Oryctolagus cuniculus: one gene and its partner. The protein of the gene in region 1 interacts with the protein of each later gene in a pairwise test. Links are inferred from orthologs where the notes say so. Each region holds a gene or a part of one and is shown in the gene's direction. Other genes may lie near its edges. The genes, in order: ERICH2 and MACROH2A1.

Region 1 (3,814 bases):
TAGAGCCAAGGGGTAGGGGTTGGTCTTCCATCTGCTGGTTCACTCCCCAGATGACCACAATGGCCAGAGCTGAGCTGATCCAAAGCCAGGAGCTTCTTCGGGTCTCCCTCACAGGTGCGGGGACTTGGGCCATCCTCTACTGTTTTCCCAGGCCATAGCAGAGAGCCGGATCAGAAGTGGAGCAGCCAGGACACAAACCAGCACCCATGTGGGATACCGGTGCTGTAAGCCATGGCTTTAACCTGCTGCACCACAGCGCCAGCCCTTTTAGTAAGTACTAAATTAAATACATTCCATTTCCAAAGGACATTATTATATAAAGCAAGATTTGAATTTTTCTTGGTTGTAACTGTATTTAACTTAAAGCTAATGAAAACAAATCTTTTAAAGTGGACTAGTGGGGCCGGTGCCGTGGCCCACTAGGCTAATCCTCTGCCTTGTGGCGCCGGCACACCGGGTTCTAGTCCTGGTCGGGGCGCTGGATTCTGTCCTGGTTGCCCCTCTTCCAGGCCAGCTCTCTGCTATGGCCTGGGAAGGCAGTGGAGGATGGCCCAAGTGCTTGGGCCCTGCACCCCATGGGAGACCAGGAGAAGCACCTGGCTCCTGTCTTTGGATCAGTGCGGTGCACCAGCTGCAGTGCGGCGGCCATTGGAGGGTGAACCAACGGCAAAGGAAGACCTTTCTCTCTGTCTCTCTCTCTCTCTTCTGTCCACTCTGCCTGTCAAAAAAAAAAAAAAAGTGGACTAGTTATGTTTTTCCTGAAAGGTTGGAGGCCTTACTGCCGTAAATCATATCACTTTCTCAAATGGAAATTATGAGATTTTAGTTGAAGAGAAAATTTAACTTGGAACCTCTGATCCTCTGAAACTTTATATAAGAATGACTACAAAAAAGAAGCAAATAGGAATGTTTTTTCCCTGCTAAATTCATGATTTGGAGCCTGGCACTGTGGCACAGCAGATTAAACCACAGCCTATAGTGCCGGCATCCCATGTGGGAGCTGGTTCTAGTCCTAGCTACTGGGCCTCCAATCCAGGTCCCTGCTAATGTGCCTGGGAAGGCAGCAGAGGATGACTCAAGTGATTGGGCCCCTGCCACTCATATGGGAGACCTGAATGAAGATCCTAGCTCCTGGCTTCAGCCCGACTCATCCCAGGCCAAAGCAGCCATTTGGGGAGTAAACCAGTGGATGGAAGATCTCTCTCTGTTTCTTTCTGTCTGTAAAATAATCTGCCTTTCAAATAAATAAATCTTTAATTTAAAAAAATTCCTGGGGCCAGTGCCGTGGCTCACTTGGCTAATCCTCCGCCTGCGGCTCTGGCATCCCATATGGGCGCTGGGTTCTAGTTGCTCCTCTTCCAGTCCAGCTCTCTGCTGTGGCCCGGGAGGGCAGTGGAGGATGGCCCAGGTGATTGGGTGCCTGCACCCATGTGGGAGACCACCTGGCTCCTGGCTTCAGATCAGCGCAGCACACTGGCCATGGCGGCCGTTTGCGGGGGAACCAACAGAAGGAAGACCTTTGTCTCTCTCACTGTCTAACTCTACCTGTCAAATAAGTTAAAAAAAAAAAATCCTAATTTGGTCAAGTGTTGTTTAGGTATTTTTCTTGCATGATCACTGCTTCCAAGTGGTAACGTTCCATTTATCCTCAGGCTGTTGAGTATTGTTGGATACCTCCATGTGTATTTCACTAAGATTATAAAAGGCATTTCCAAATACATACATACTCAGAACTGTACTTGCTAAATTCCCTTCCTTAAGGATATAAATATATAAGTTCCATATTTTATAGATTCTAAAGCACACTTTTTTCATACTTTAACATCTTACAATTGATGTGCTTTTATATTTGACAGTTTTTTCTTAGTGATACATAAATGGTATACCTTATAATGAATGGCTGTTATCTTAGATTCAATGAAATATTGTAATTCAGACTGGAATAGCATCAAAGCCCTTAATACCTACATTCAAAAGTAGACATTTAAATTCTGGTAGTCACTTGTATAGTGACCTTTTGCCTAACAGGAATCTCACATGCTGGACAGTGAATATTTCAGTAACTTCTCAGCTCCTCCTTTTCGTAACTTCTCAGCATCCTCTTGGATGCTTGCTTTCACAATGGGAAAAGCAGTAGGCAAAAGTAGAACAAATGTTGATCATTGCTGTGCATTTTTCATTTCCAGAGAGGGTTTCGCTTTAGTTGTGTTTACTGGGGATGCAAAGATTCCATTCCCTCCTGTAATGTTAAGAATTTCACAAGCTGGGCAACCTGTTTGCTACAGGGGACAAGCCCACTAGCTTAACTGACAGTGTTCTGGATTCACAATCCAGTGGGGAAAAAACAGAACCCCCATAACTCTGGGGGAAATACAGTACTCGATACCTTGTTACATCTTTCCATGCAAACTGGAGGTTGAATAAAAAAAGAAAAAAAAATTTGTGAAGGAAACATATTGGTAGAGTCTTAAGACCTCAAAAAAGAGACTTGGGGTTATTTTCCACAAGCATAGGTACCTGTCTTTGTAAACAGAATACCATACAAGTCTCAGTGCTTTGTTTCAGTCTTGAAAACTAAAAGAGAAAGTTAACCCAATTGAAGTTTAGCTCCTTAATACAAAAGGCTACTTTAGGGCCTAATATGTAGCAGTGTGTAGGCATCTCATAACAGAATACCAGTTCGAGTCCCAGTTGTTGCACTTCCAATCCAGCTCCCTACTAATGAGCCTGGGAAGGCAGCAGATGAAGTGCTGGGGCCCCTACCACACACATGGGAGACTTGGATGGATTCCTGGCTCCTGACTTCTGTGTGGCACAGTTGTAACCATTTGAGGAGTGAAGATCTGTGTGTATGGGTGTGTTTCTTCCTCTCTGCCACTCTGCATTTCCAAAACAAGGCTATATTATGATTAAGGGTTAACATTAATGTTGGACTCTCTCCATAAGTAAAGCAAATATTTAGCAATGACAGGAATCCATTCAAACCTAAAAAATCTCGACTAATTTCCTTAAATAGTTTTTTCATTGTATCACAATCATGTACTAAAGGTACTTATATAACTGATTGCTTATGTGCTCTATATTAAAGAACTCTGAAAAGACTCTAAGAATGATATACAACAAACGTCAAGTAGAAGTAGAATTTTAATCATCAGCACAAATTATTTGTAATGTTCTCCACAAAGAAGCTATGTTTTAGTCATTGTATTGTTGGCATATTAAATTGTGTGTTTGTATCAAAAATAGTGTATGTGTTTGTGAACCCATAGAAAGCATCAAACAATTTTAACCTAAGAAGGTATTTTTTCATTATATTCTTAATCCTTAGGAAAGAAGTCTCTTCCAAGATCACTGAAAATAAAGTTTCCTTAGAGCATTCTGGAAAAAGAGTATCTTCAAAGGGTATTAAAAATAAAGATACCGTAACAAGTCTTCAATCTGACCTATGGTCCTCTTCCTTCTTAAAAGAAAGCACAGGTAATAACATTTGTTTTATGAATTGAGTAACTGTGGCTTCTAATTCAGCCTCCTTTTCTGCAGCCTTTGGGAGCTGACAACTCGAAGTCTGGAGCAAGTCTTGGGAGTCAGTTTTTCAAATCGTGTACTGACTGGTGATTCTGATACAGTCAGGGGTAGGATCCTTGAGTATACATTACATAAGATGACAATGATAGGGCTTAAATCTTAGAATGAATTCACATACCCGTGAAAGCATTAACCAATTCCATTCATTTAACAAATGTTGAAAACCAGTGTGCCAGAAGCTGTAGATAAAATAGCAAAATAAAACTTCTTGCTGTTATAAAATTAATAT
Region 2 (3,814 bases), on another chromosome or scaffold:
CAGTTGGGATTTCACCCCACACATAACGTCAGAGGAGCTTCAGGTTCAGGTAAAGGACCTTTGCAATTTCTTAAAAATGATTTAAAATAGCTCCTGTGTGTTTCACACTAAGGAATACGGAAGATGCGTTCGGAGAGTTGAGGAGCTGAGAATTCAGGTAGTGGGAGTGGGAAATGCAGATCAGTACCCGTTGGTCTGCTGCCCGTGTTTGTTGTGGGAAGCTCGTGAATGCATAGTTCTCCTGTGCCAGCTGCACCCTTCCTCAGAGGGAAGAGGCTGAGTGGGAACTGGGGGGACTCTAGGACCTGCAGGCAGACTGCAGGCCCGCCTTTTGCAATCCCGGTGGCCAGCAGGGCGTGTGATAGCACTGGCCTTCCCCTTCCTTCCATAGAGTTCTGGTTTTCTCTGCATCTGTGTGATCCCCAGTGCCCATTCTGTCAAATCCTCTTTCTTTCTTAACTAAGTGTGGACTTCGGCAGTCACTACGCAGTGACCCCCCACAAACCCACTCTCAGGGCTCACCTGACCATGCCCCTCTTTGCCCAGTCACTGCTGGCTTCATCCTCGGCCAGTCTCAAGGCCTCACAGAAGGAGAGTGGCATTCCCTTTGCTCAGCTCTGCCCCTTCCTTCCATTTGTTCTTCAGGGAAGTTCCACAGAGGCCTACATGGTCACATTGTGCGAGGCAGGGCACACACAGCGTTATTGCCCCTGCCTGCATGTGGCCCACAGGCTACTTTCCGTCAGTGCTCCAGTGTCAGTCCTCCTGGGAGGGTGCCTGGGAAACTCCCCTGTAAACCGAGCTGATGCTAACCCATTAGACTACATGTCAGTCAAAGTATTTATGTTCAACATTTTTGGTTTTATTTATTTGAAAAAGAGGTCTTCCATCAGTTGGTTCACTCCCCAGATGCCCACAACAGTCAAGACAAGCCTAGATCAGACTAAGGCCAGGTGCCTGGAACTCCATCCAGATCTCCCACATGGGTGGCAGGGGCCCAAGGATTTGAGACTGCTTCCAAGGGTGTACATTAGCAGGAAGCTGAGATTACAGGTGGAGAGCAACTTAAATCCAGGTACTCCAAAACGGAATGCAGGCACCCTGGGTGGCATGTTGACTGCTGCACCCAATGCTGCGCCCTTGTTGTTGTCAATTTTGGAAATTTTAAGAAGAGAATAAAGAATATTCCCATGCCACTGCCCAACGATGACCACCATTCACCTGTTGGTTTTCATTCTTGAGCAGCACACGAGTTAGCGTGTTACACACCCCAGGGTTGGGTTTGTGAAGGCCAGCACTTCAGCCTTGCACTGTCGAGTGGCCTCGGTCATCCGAGGCAGGACTTGGCCACAGTGTACCTGAGGGACAGGGATCCGGATCCATCCTAGAGAAAACCAAGCTAACTCTGCCCATAGTCAGCAGCGTTTGTCCTAGAGTGAGGCTGTCCAGCAGCAGAGGTGCCAGTCTGGCTGCGGAACTGCTGGCGTGCACAGGTTGCTTTGTCCTGCATGGTATTGGCAAGAGTTGCATTATCTGCACATGAATCCACTGGAGGAAAGGCTGGAGGAGACAGAAAGAGGCAGGTGTTTTGAGGCTGCAAACGTTCCAACATGTTTGCTCAAGTTAGGAAAATTCCTCGTGCCGGTGCCTCCCTGATGCCAGTTTTCCCAGGGTGCTGGCTGTCCCCGAGGGAAAGGGTGAAGTGCTGAGCATCACCGGTGGTTTGAGCGCCTGCTGGCAGTCTCAGCAGGTGACTGTGTTCCTCCTTGGACACAGGGCCAAGGGGATTTACTGTGGCAGCAGAGCGGGCCTGCGTGTGCGGAGCAGCTGAACTCACTCTTGGTCTCGTCCCCTCCAGCTGCCGTCAGTGCAGGCCACGGCTTGCCTGCCAAGTTTGTGATCCACTGTAACAGCCCAGTCTGGGGTGCGGACAAGTGTGAGGAACTCCTGGAAAAGACAGTGAAAAACTGCTTGGCGCTGGCCGATGATAAGAAGCTGAAATCCATCGCATTTCCGTCCATTGGCAGTGGCAGGTAAGGGCACACCAGTGCTGCCATGCAGGTCACGGTGTATTTTTGTGTCCAGCAGGGGTGGGGGATGCTTTTTCTGCCAAGGACCATGTACGGATTTGTGACATTGTTTGCAGGTTGTACAAAAATGAGCCTGCCCCAGATGCACTGAATTTCCGGTCCTGGCTGCGGCGTTCCCTGCCCCTAGTCTATAGGCCCCAGTCGGGGGGCTCTGTCTTCATTGGGGAGACAGAAGCACACCCTGGGGGGCCTACATCTAGCAACTGCGGGGCCAGCTGGAGAGAGTGACAGCAGATGTCACCACAGAGGGGTTACTGAGATTCCAGTGGGTGGCAAGCACGGGCAGGGTGACTGGTTCCCAGGGTCAGTTGTCGCCAGTTAGGGCTTTGTCCCTCAGCCTGAAGAAGGGAATGCTAAGAGTGAATCAGGGCTGGGCCCAGCCTCGCCTCCCATCCACAATGGGTCCTAATGCAGACAGGCAGGACGCAGGTGGGACTCAGCCAGCCTGTGGGAGCAGCACAGCCTTCTGCCCTGCTGCGAGTCCTGGCTCAGCCACTAACGCGCTGTGTCAGTGGTGGGAACCGTTGTTGTGCCAGACAACACAATGTTGTTGTGCCATTTGGGTATTTGTGCCAGCATTCATGGGCCATGCAGAATTGTCAGCCTATAAACTAGCCTGCTGGAGATGGTTTGGATTTCAAGTCCCACCTTGGCAGGGCCGGACAGTCCCCACCCGAGTGATCCTAAGCACCTCCATGCAACCTCTTGGGGTGCTCTGCAAATTCAGACACCCTCAGGAGGTAGCGACAAGGGCCCGGTGGGCGGGGGACAGAGGCAGCACCGCATCTGAAATTGTCTCATTTCCCAGCATCAGCAGGGCCCTTGCAGGCTCTGGGTTGGCTGCGGGAGCAAAGCGTCCAGCTATGAGCATGTTGTACCTAGGAGGGGCCACCGGCTGGGTTCTGTGTGGGGCCTGGCCCTGCTGTCCCTGTGAGCAGCAGTCCTCAGAACCGTACCTGATACTACAGCATTCCCTGTCTGCACTTCCCTTCCAAGAGCTGATTCTGCCATTTCCGGCTTCAGTGGGCCTCGGAATTTGCCTCCGTAGACACTGCTATCACTGAGGTCCCCATCTCAAGTGACAGAACTAGCTCTGGGTGTGCTTCCTGTCATTTCACATGCACACAGGCACTGCTGCACTTCAAGGGTGTGCTCTGTGCGGCTGCAGCAGGCTTCCCCGAAGGAAAGCCATGTGGGGCCTGGGCCGCACCCCACAGCCACCGTGCCTGCAAAGCCGGCTCCTCAGCACGTGTGTGTGTACTGCACCTACATGTTCAGTTACTACATGCTTGTTCGTTCCAGTCTCTCTTGCCAAGCGCATATGTGGAACATCATTTTTAAAAGTCAGCACCATTTCAGTGCATATTGAAAGCAACAGCTAACAGAGCGCGCGTCTAGAGGCTCTGAGAGTACCTGGCAGAGACAGGCAGTCTGGACCTCGGTGCTGCAGGCCCAGGCCCACAGCAGAGTCAGGGCGCTCCTGGATCACTGCGAGAGGCCGTAATCCTCTCTCCTCGCTCGCCCTAGCACGTCCGCGCTGGGGCACTGCACTGCTGTGTGACTTCTGGGGAGTGAAGCAGCCTCCCTGACTCCGGACTTCCTTATCAGCAAGCCAGGCAGCAGGGCCTGCCTGGCTGCGCCCAGGGCTCAGTTAATTAGTGTTTCGGATGCACTTTGATCTGCGCTGATGAAAGGTGCTTCCGAAGAGAGGCACTAGGGCCTTT

Evidence for each region.
Region 2: the proteins of ERICH2 (region 1) and MACROH2A1 interact in binary tests that used the Homo sapiens proteins (3 or more experiments, as listed by UniProt). The two-hybrid records come from large-scale screens. The link is inferred for Oryctolagus cuniculus from reciprocal best matches to the Homo sapiens genes ERICH2 and MACROH2A1.

What each region holds. Positions count from the first base shown.
Region 1 is NC_091434.1:70,336,466-70,340,279, reverse strand, and holds part of ERICH2 (glutamate-rich protein 2), read left to right. Parts: intron 1-3,328; coding exon 3,329-3,477; intron 3,478-3,814.
Region 2 is NC_091437.1:23,470,639-23,474,452, reverse strand, and holds part of MACROH2A1 (core histone macro-H2A.1), read left to right. Parts: intron 1-1,858; coding exon 1,859-2,033; intron 2,034-3,814. UniProt on the Homo sapiens protein: Variant histone H2A which replaces conventional H2A in a subset of nucleosomes where it represses transcription. Nucleosomes wrap and compact DNA into chromatin, limiting DNA accessibility to the cellular machineries which require DNA as a template.